Linked DNA regions of Zea mays. The protein of the gene in region 2 binds, or shares a complex with, the protein of the main gene of each other region. Links are inferred from orthologs where the notes say so. Each region holds a gene or a part of one and is shown on either strand. Other genes may lie near its edges. The genes, in order: 50S ribosomal protein 6, chloroplastic-like; 50S ribosomal protein L13, chloroplastic-like; 50S ribosomal protein L31-like.

Evidence for each region.
Region 1: 50S ribosomal protein L13, chloroplastic-like (region 2) and 50S ribosomal protein 6, chloroplastic-like share a complex: the UniProt entries of both Arabidopsis thaliana proteins name them as parts of the 50S ribosomal subunit. The link is inferred for Zea mays from reciprocal best matches to the Arabidopsis thaliana genes emb1473 and PSRP6.
Region 3: 50S ribosomal protein L13, chloroplastic-like (region 2) and 50S ribosomal protein L31-like share a complex: the UniProt entries of both Arabidopsis thaliana proteins name them as parts of the 50S ribosomal subunit. The link is inferred for Zea mays from reciprocal best matches to the Arabidopsis thaliana genes emb1473 and emb2184.

Annotation. Positions count from the first base shown.
Region 1 is NC_050099.1:216,898,199-216,900,750, forward strand, and holds 50S ribosomal protein 6, chloroplastic-like, read right to left. Parts: upstream 1,238-2,552; 5' UTR 1,166-1,237; coding exon 800-1,165; 3' UTR 666-799; downstream 1-665.
Region 2 is NC_050098.1:202,897,982-202,901,732, reverse strand, and holds the start of 50S ribosomal protein L13, chloroplastic-like, read right to left. Parts: upstream 2,805-3,751; 5' UTR 2,699-2,804; coding exon 2,474-2,698; intron 1,991-2,473; coding exon 1,805-1,990; intron 1,239-1,804; coding exon 1,068-1,238; intron 285-1,067; coding exon 168-284; 3' UTR 1-167. Other genes in the region: uncharacterized protein LOC100285659, read right to left, coding at 3,504-3,751.
Region 3 is NC_050098.1:221,940,550-221,942,851, reverse strand, and holds 50S ribosomal protein L31-like, read right to left. Parts: upstream 1,420-2,302; 5' UTR 1,362-1,419; coding exon 1,272-1,361; intron 1,166-1,271; coding exon 863-1,165; 3' UTR 570-862; downstream 1-569. UniProt on the Arabidopsis thaliana protein: Binds the 23S rRNA.

The DNA.
Region 1 (2,552 bases), on a different chromosome or scaffold from region 2:
TAAAAATTGAAAAATAAGAATTTATGGTAATATATAAATCCGGATAGCCCACGTGTTAGATATCCATTGGGTAACGGGTATGGATACTGGATATCCATACCCGTGAAAAAAATATCCACGGATACCCTATTATATCCATAACCGTACCCGCGGATATCAAATTCCACCATACTCATATCCAATGGATAATTATCCGCGGTTATTTACCCATACCCGTATCCATTGCCATCCCTAGGTAGGCAGGTAGCATATGGAATTCGCACAATCATGCTCCAACAAAAGCAACATTACAAACAACTAGGTTACTTCTAAAATTTCCTATCATTTGCAGTGTTCAATGGCTGTTCCTGCCATCTAAGCTGAGTTTACTGTTTACCGAACCTTCCCCAATATCAGGCAATTGTCCAAATCAAACAGAGCCAGCTCCTAAAGTCAAACAAGAGGCAGATGTCTTCGTTGGGCTGCTTGTTTTCCCCCCCTTTTGAAGACTATATTTGCGTAATCCATATCCCATCATAACTTAACTGGCAAACTATGGAGATGGAGTAGCTAATCACTCTGCAGTCTGCACTGCCACTGACGGCATGGAATAAGCGTTGCACACAGCATGCAACCAAGAAATCATCTAGCAACGCACTAAATTGGACGCGGTGACAGCCACAATCTGGACAGCAATGAAAGATTCTTAATTTATAATCACAAAATCTGGGCAGCCATTGTTATTATATAATAAATCTCAAAGAAAAACAGCTTATGCGGAGGTTCAAGGGAACAACTTTGGCGACACGCCGCGGCGGCCTCAGTCGGTGGCCGCGGCCACGTCGAGGACGAGAGTCGCGGCGGGTGCCGGGGCCTCCGCCTCCTCCACGTCCACCGTGGCGCCGGAGGCGACGAGCGTCCAGTCCGGCGGGAGCGGCGGCAGCGGCGGGTACTGCGTGGGGCGGCGCTTGATGTCCCACGGCTGCGTCTTCTTGGGCCGCGTCTTCATGTGGTGCTTGGTCCCCTTCTTCTGCGGCCGCGACGAGCACTCCACCGCCAGCGCCGCGCGCCCGCCGCCGTGGAGCGGGGAGAAGCCGACGGAGTAATGGCGGGCGTGCCTCGCTGGCGACGGGGCCGAGGCCGGCGGCACCACCGTGCCCGCCAGGAGTGCGGTGACAGGCGACATGCTCGCTGGTGCTGCGCTTTCGAGAGAGGCGGACGGGTAGGGTAGTAGTGTGGGTTGTGTTTGGGATAAGATGGGAGGAGGACTGTTTCGGATTGGGTTTTGTGATTGCGGGATTTGCTACGCTGAGCGAAATCTGGCCCACACTATGTGCGATCATCTGACCGCTCACTCATCGAGTGTTTTTCCTTTTTTATATCTCCACTTCTTTTAAAAAAAACTTGTAATTGTTTAGTCCCCTGCCCTCTTCTTATCATAAAATGCCATGTCACCTTTTTATATTATAAAATTCCGTGGTCTAAGATGTGCCGTTGATGAAGCTTCAACAAAACAAAATGAGGCTCACGGGTACATAATATATTTCTTTTGGTACAACGATCAGTTGTCTCCCGAATTTTGTTGAAAAATGTTTCGGCACAACTAGCTTGTACTTCTAAAGCTATCTCTAACTCATCTAGAGATGTTAATGGAGAATTCTCCATCGGGTTATAGCATCCCAAACTCATTCCTATCATATTTAGTCCATCCTCATACCCATTATGGGTGCAAAATTCATCTCATACTCATCCTCATTCGGGTTTTGGGTCCCCAATGGGTCCCCATCTCCAATTAACGCATGTTCAGGCACACCAATCCAGAAGGCGATTGGAGGGTATTAAATCCCCTCCTAGTCAATGGGAACCTCAAATCCCCATTGGGATTGGAGGGGATTGAGGTAGAAATAAACTAATTTTCTCTTCAATCCCCTTCAATCTTGAAGGGATTTGAGTTTCCAAACTAACCCTTAGTGCTACTTTGGGAACCTCAAATCCCCTTCAGGGTTGGAGGGGATTGGGGTGGAAATGAACTAATTTCCTCTCCAATCCCCTTCAATCCCGAAGAGGATGTGAGTTTCCAAACTAGCCAATAAGGGCTGATTTGGTGACCAGAGATTACGGCGGGATTTGAGAGAATTGAGGGGGAAATTAGTTCATTTCCCCTTCAATCCCCTCCAATCCTCCCGTGATCACCTTGTCACCAAATCAACCGAGTTGATTTGGTGACAAGGTGATCACGGGAGGATTGGAGGGGATTGAGGGGGAAATAAACTAATTTTCCCCTCAATCCCCTTCAATCCTCCCGGGATCCCGGGTCACCAAATCAGCCCTAAGAGGGGATTTAAACCCCTCCAATCCCCTTCTGGATTCGTGTAACCGAACAAGCCCTTAAGGGATAACTAGGTACTAACATGTAACACAAACTATCTAGATTTCAGACATCACCACATCGGCAAGTACTCATTAATGAACCATCATCCATTCATCCATCCATCAGAAAAGAAATAAGTACTTCAGGACCGATAGAAGAAATAGAGAAATGGAGTCTGCTCACATTTCTTGGTCACCATCTG
Region 2 (3,751 bases):
TGACTGAATTTCATGCATTGGTAAACATCAAAATTACAAAGAGGATTTATACTCCCCCCCCCCCCCTCCCCGATCAGAGGCATGGTTATGAGGATAGCATTCCAAACAAAGGGCAAAACCTTCTGGGGAGGAATTCGCCACTGCATCCTTTTCAGTCGATGAATTCTCTATCCAGTTTTTTGTATTCTTTTATCCCTGATCGGGAGTGGGACAGGTTTTTGAGCCTCGTGCGGATGTTCTGTCCCTTTGTATACCTTGAGGTGGGTAAATAATCTTCTTCCCAGCTGCAAATTGGCAAAAAAGGTGAGCATATAAATGTAAATATAACAAGTATATAGCACATAACAAAACTAAGTTAAATCAAATTTGCCATCAACAAGAAAAATGGAATGGTTAGGGGGGATGCTTCAGATAACAAGATATTTGCCTGCCATAATGTGAGTTTCAGTAAACGCATCCATACTACCAAACAATTGAACTAAGAAGCAATTTGCAAGAAAAAGGTTAATAGGCAATTTTTATGGAGTTCATGCAACACACCTTTGCGAACTTAGAAAAAAAAAGATCGGCAAGATAATTAACTAATTCAATCTGGACTTGTTAATTTTGTTCAATAACAACATTCCCTTGAATTTAGTACTGTGATTTATTCTGAATGTCACGCTTTCACTGGGAGGTACATGCTGATGCATGAGCAATGTTCTGACTGCAATACACTTCAGGGCTTGTTCGTTTCGCCGTTAATCCATGTGGATTGAGTGGTATTGAGTCGGTTTAAATCCATAGCAAGTCAAAATCCATCCCAATCCATCCCAACACACCAATCCACATGGAATTGAAATAACCGAACAAGGCCTCACCATTAACTATAGTAGTTCTCAATCTCAAAAGAAAAAATTCACATCTGCTAACTAATACCAAATTGTAATTTTTGGGACCTTAAAATAAAGGTCACCAGGAAATTTGGTTGTCATTTTCATATTTGGCATACATTATAACATGCGCACTAAAACGAGAAAGAGAACATGTAGACCTGAGGCAATCAGCTAGTAGATGTTTTTTCTTACCCTTCCCTTGGGGAGCATGCCACGAACCGCATGTTCAATGATTCTCTCTGGAATTCTTTTCTGAAGTTGGTCAAAAGTTTCTTCTTTCATCCCTCCAGGCCTTCCGGAGTGCCTCCTATAAAGCTTTTGTGACCGCTTTTTACCAGAAACAGCAACCTTATCTGCATTGACCTATGTGAATAGAAAAGGTTGTTAATGACTCTCAGCATTGTAGTGTAACACAATAATGCATATCATCTACTCCATCTGTTCCAAATTATAAGATGTTTTGGTAATTCTAGATACATAGTTGTTACTAAATATCTGGACATGAATTATGTCTAAGTGCGTAGCAAAAGTAATGGATCCAAAAAAAATCCAAAAAGTCTTATAACTTGGAACTGAGGGAATACGTGGTAATGAGCCTTTAGAGATGCACCAGTCACAAAAGGACTATGCTAACATAAACATTAAACACAACTACAGTTGAAGATTATTTGAGGAAGGTTACTCACCTCAGTACCAAATAATCTGAGGGAAGTAAAGCATGTATACTAAGGCCCTGTTTGGAACCTCTACAGCTAATAGTTAGCTGCTAAAATTAGCTATACAGGTTCCAAACACCCACAACTAATTGTTAGCTAACTCACAGTTAACAATTAGTTCATTAGCTGGCTCAACCCAGCTAACAATTTGTTAGCTGGCTACCTGTTAACTGTAGGGATTCCAAACACTATAGGTATTGAGAGAACGCTTACCACAATAACAAAAGCTCCCATGTCTACACTAGGAGTGTAAGTGGGTTCATTCTTTCCCCTGATATGTACTGCAATGGTGGATGCTAGCCTGCCTAGGATCTTGTCTGTTGCATCAACAACATACCATGTCTTCTCGGTAGTTACATGATCTGCAGCCTTAGGATACCAGGTTGTATTCCATATGTCCTGCAAATTAAATCACTGAATCAGATTTCAGTAGACACAATTACTTGTGGAGTAATTCATTAGAAGAAAGAACAAGGCATAGTACAAACAAACCATTCACTTTGTACCCATAGTATTAGTAACTGATCCTAAACAAGTCACAATTATGAACAGGCTGGTTGGCAACCATCAGTTCACTTTGACTTGCATGTCCAATTAAGCTCATTTTTAATGAATTCTCTCTCACCACAAACAGCCCATGGGTAATTTTGGATATGATGGCACATGGCAGATAACATATATAATGTACGCAGTTCTATTGTAACTTGATTGCCCTTCATCATGCACATAAAAGGATAGTCGAAGCCTCTGAGGTGGATTAAGATGGCCACGGTGAAACATGAACAAAATAGGATGGACACTGTCAGTCCAGGGTTACAATCCTGCAAAACGAGCTGTGAAAATGTGCACATTGTTTCAAGAGAGGAAGAGAGAGCGTCGTACGGGGCCGCAGAGCTCGTCTCCCTCGAACATGAAGCGCTGCTCGCGGGGCACGAGCGCGGCGAGCGGCTGCCTCTTCTGCTTGTCGCTCTTCTCGCACCGCACGGCCAGTCCCACCGGGGCGGCCCGGCGCGGCCCCACGGACGCGGTCCGGGTCAGGCGGCGGTGGTAGTGGCGCGGGGCGAAGGCGGAGGAGAGCAACGTATGGGAGGCGACGGCCGTAGCCATTGCGGCACGGCGAGCGAGCGGCAACAGGAGGAGGATGTGCAGACGGTTGGTTCAGTGGGACGCGGCCATTTTTAGGCGCAGTGGGGAGCGTCAAGCGGATAAGGGGATAGGAGACAAAGAACAGGGAAAGGTTAACAAGAACATATGGGCTTCATGGGCTCAGAACGAAATGCAGATTTGGCCCATTACGACACCTTATCAGCTCATCTGAGATTTAAACGCTTCCTTTGAAACTCTTCCCAAACTCAGAATAATGGCGGTTCCATAATTCCATCTAAAAAAAAGAAATTCAATGTATTACTATTGGGCAAAGGGAGCTGCATTAACAAAATATAGCTTCAGACAGGACCATATTTTTTTCAAACGATTCCGCTGTTCAAGTACCAATTAGAAACATCGGTAATCAGAGAAATTCTCGAGTCCAAATAAAATGACGGGAACAGAACTTCCATTGCTGCTAGTTTCCGCGACAACCATCAGCAGCAGAAGCCGAATTAATTGATAACGGACACCATTTTCACATGTTCCATCAGGAAACGGAAAGGAGGCAGAAAAGTGTTCATTCTCTTCTAACCAAAGAAAGCATATCTTTTACATATATAGTGGCAACATCGTGTGATTGCGTTGCAGTGAAGCAACAGCTTAACGTGTTTCTGGTTCAGATCCAGGATTCCCTCGCAGGAAGAACGCAAAGATGATAATATACAACAACAAAATTGTGAACCAGAGATGTCGAGTATCGACGATTAGAACCATATGTAAATCAATGGTTAGTTGGCTACCAGCAAATGAACTGGGAGGAAGGTTACGAAGTAGTAGAAGACCCTGAATTTGTCTGTGTAAGAGGTTTTACTTTCCTTGTGTGACCCAAACTATTCACAAGATCCCTGCGAGTGCATACAGGAAACATGCTCAATCCATGCATGTTTAGCCGCCACAAAACGTATGGAAAACTGAGCTGATCACGAGATGTGAAGCGAACCACTTCATTAAACCAAGCACACATGAAATGGTTCGTTGCAGGGGTGAGTTCCCTCACAATAACAGAGGCTT
Region 3 (2,302 bases), about 19 Mb from region 2:
TTTAAGATAAATTATGTTTCAAAACTAAATAAATAACAGTTATTTGTAGTCAAAATTTTATAAGTTTGACTCGAACATTATCCAAAACGACAAATAATATAACACCGGAGGGAGTATCTATTTGCTTGTCGCTATCTATTCTTATTTCCGCCACATTTTCTATCAACGTAGGAAATAGAGTGAATCAGAGCTAGTGTATGATATTATCTTCAACGGTTTATTAATAACAAAATAAAATTACTTACTTTTCTTTTGTCTAGATTAAGCCAATAATATTATAGTCATTTTGTTTTATTTTATAGAAATTAGCTTGAATTATATGTTGGTGCTAATTGTTTGTAATGGCATGAGATTTTACAAATATTCTATTCCACCCATATGGCCGTATGTCACGACATGTTTTATATATCATGCAACACATGGACACTCAATTAGTTCAGTCGCATGGAAAAATTGGTTGTATAAAACTATGACTCGGAAATTGGATCACCTAGCAACAGGAGGCTAGTTTGATCAAACAGTATGCGGTATCAGGTTATCAGCAGACGACTCAAGCTGTAGTCAAGCATCAGCGTATACTCCTAGTGAGAAATATCCATTTCCTCGAACCAGGATCATTTGCTTGTTTGATCAATACCATCCTACCCTAGAGTGCATTGCAGAAAGCACATTGTATTTGGGGGCCCATGATCAACAAGACCCTATCTCGTGAAGTAGTAGTAATTGTACATTTTCCATTCCGAACATTAACCGAACACCTGGAGAGCAATGCGAACAGACAGAGTCTCGATTCCATTCAAGAGGGCAAATGTAAACTGGACCGGTGACCACGCACCGGGTGAGGAAGACGGGGAGCCATCAATCAGTTGTCCCCCTCGGGCTCGAACTCCGGGTCGCCGTCTGGGTGCATCTCCCTCCACTGGTCCTCGGGCCAGTACTCCTTGATGTGGCCCCACTTCTTGCGGAACTTCTCGATCTGGCTGTCCATGACCACGAGCGCCGAGGTGTCGCCGACATAGTAGGGGTGGTTTCCGGACCACACGTCCACCGTGTACTCCGGCTTGGTGCCCCCCGTCACCAGCACCAGCTCGCCGTTGCAGTACACCTTCGCGTCCTCGTAGATCTCCGGGTGCAACCCCTTCTTGCGCATCGAGCAGCGCATCCCCTGCACCGCGCCGTCCAGGTTCCGGACTCAGGAATTAGCGGCGGCGACGACGAAGATCCGTGCAGGAATGGCGAGAGGGAGGGCCGGTGTGTACGAACGTGCGTACCTGGGAGGGGACGACGGAGCGTAGGGTGCGGGCGGTGGTCCTCGCGGCGGCGGGGATGGGGAGGAAAGAGGTGGAGAGGGAGAGCGTCATGGCGGACGATGGCCTTGCCTCGCGACAGTCGCTTCGGCTGCCTATGTTCTTTCCTTCCTCTTATCTATCGCCTTGCTAATGTTATCCTCTGGCGCTCGTCGATTCTCTCTTTAGGTAGCGTTGTCTAGGCTTGTTTGGGCTCTATATGTTCATTAAAGTCTGTCTGTGGTTTGTTTTGGGCTACGTGGAAATGCGACGGCCCACGAAAAATCCAGTGCCCAATTTCTCCTTCAGTTATTTCCAGTTGGCGGCCAGCTATACTAAAGAGGTATAGCTATGCGGTTTTTTATTTATCGAAACATTTCGGATCAAAATTCTCTTTCATAGATGTAACGTCGAAGAAAGTACACCACCAGAAATGAAAGTGTTGGTAGATGGTTGGTTGAATTAGTGGGCCAAAAGAAGAGAAAGTTGCATGCCGTGTAGAGTCTGACTTAAATATAATTAAGGAATGATATGCAAACTACAATTACAGTTGTTACGGTTTTCTTAAGAGTATAAAATTAAATAATTTAGAGCAACTCTATTAGAGCAACTCTAGTAGTTCTCCAAAAGATTCCTTAAATCAATAAATAATTTAGGTAGCTAAACTAAAAACTCATCTCCAACAACTCTCTTAAATGAATTTTCTAAATTTAGCTACTTCTCATCTAATCTCAATTTCTCCCTACATTTAGCAACCATTTATCAACTTCCTAAACAAAAAACTGACGATAACTTTTGTATTTTGGTGTTTTTTCACTTTGTAGTAGAGATATATTAACAGAGCACATTCGTCGGACGCCGACGATGTAAAATTGTGGCAGGTAGTCAACTAGAGATTAACCAATTGCCAATGCAATAGCCGCACGTGCACATGTTAGAAATAAACGAATAAACAATTGTGATAGTAAATAAAAAAGCCAACATAACTCACCAATTAAATGTGTCATCACTAATGG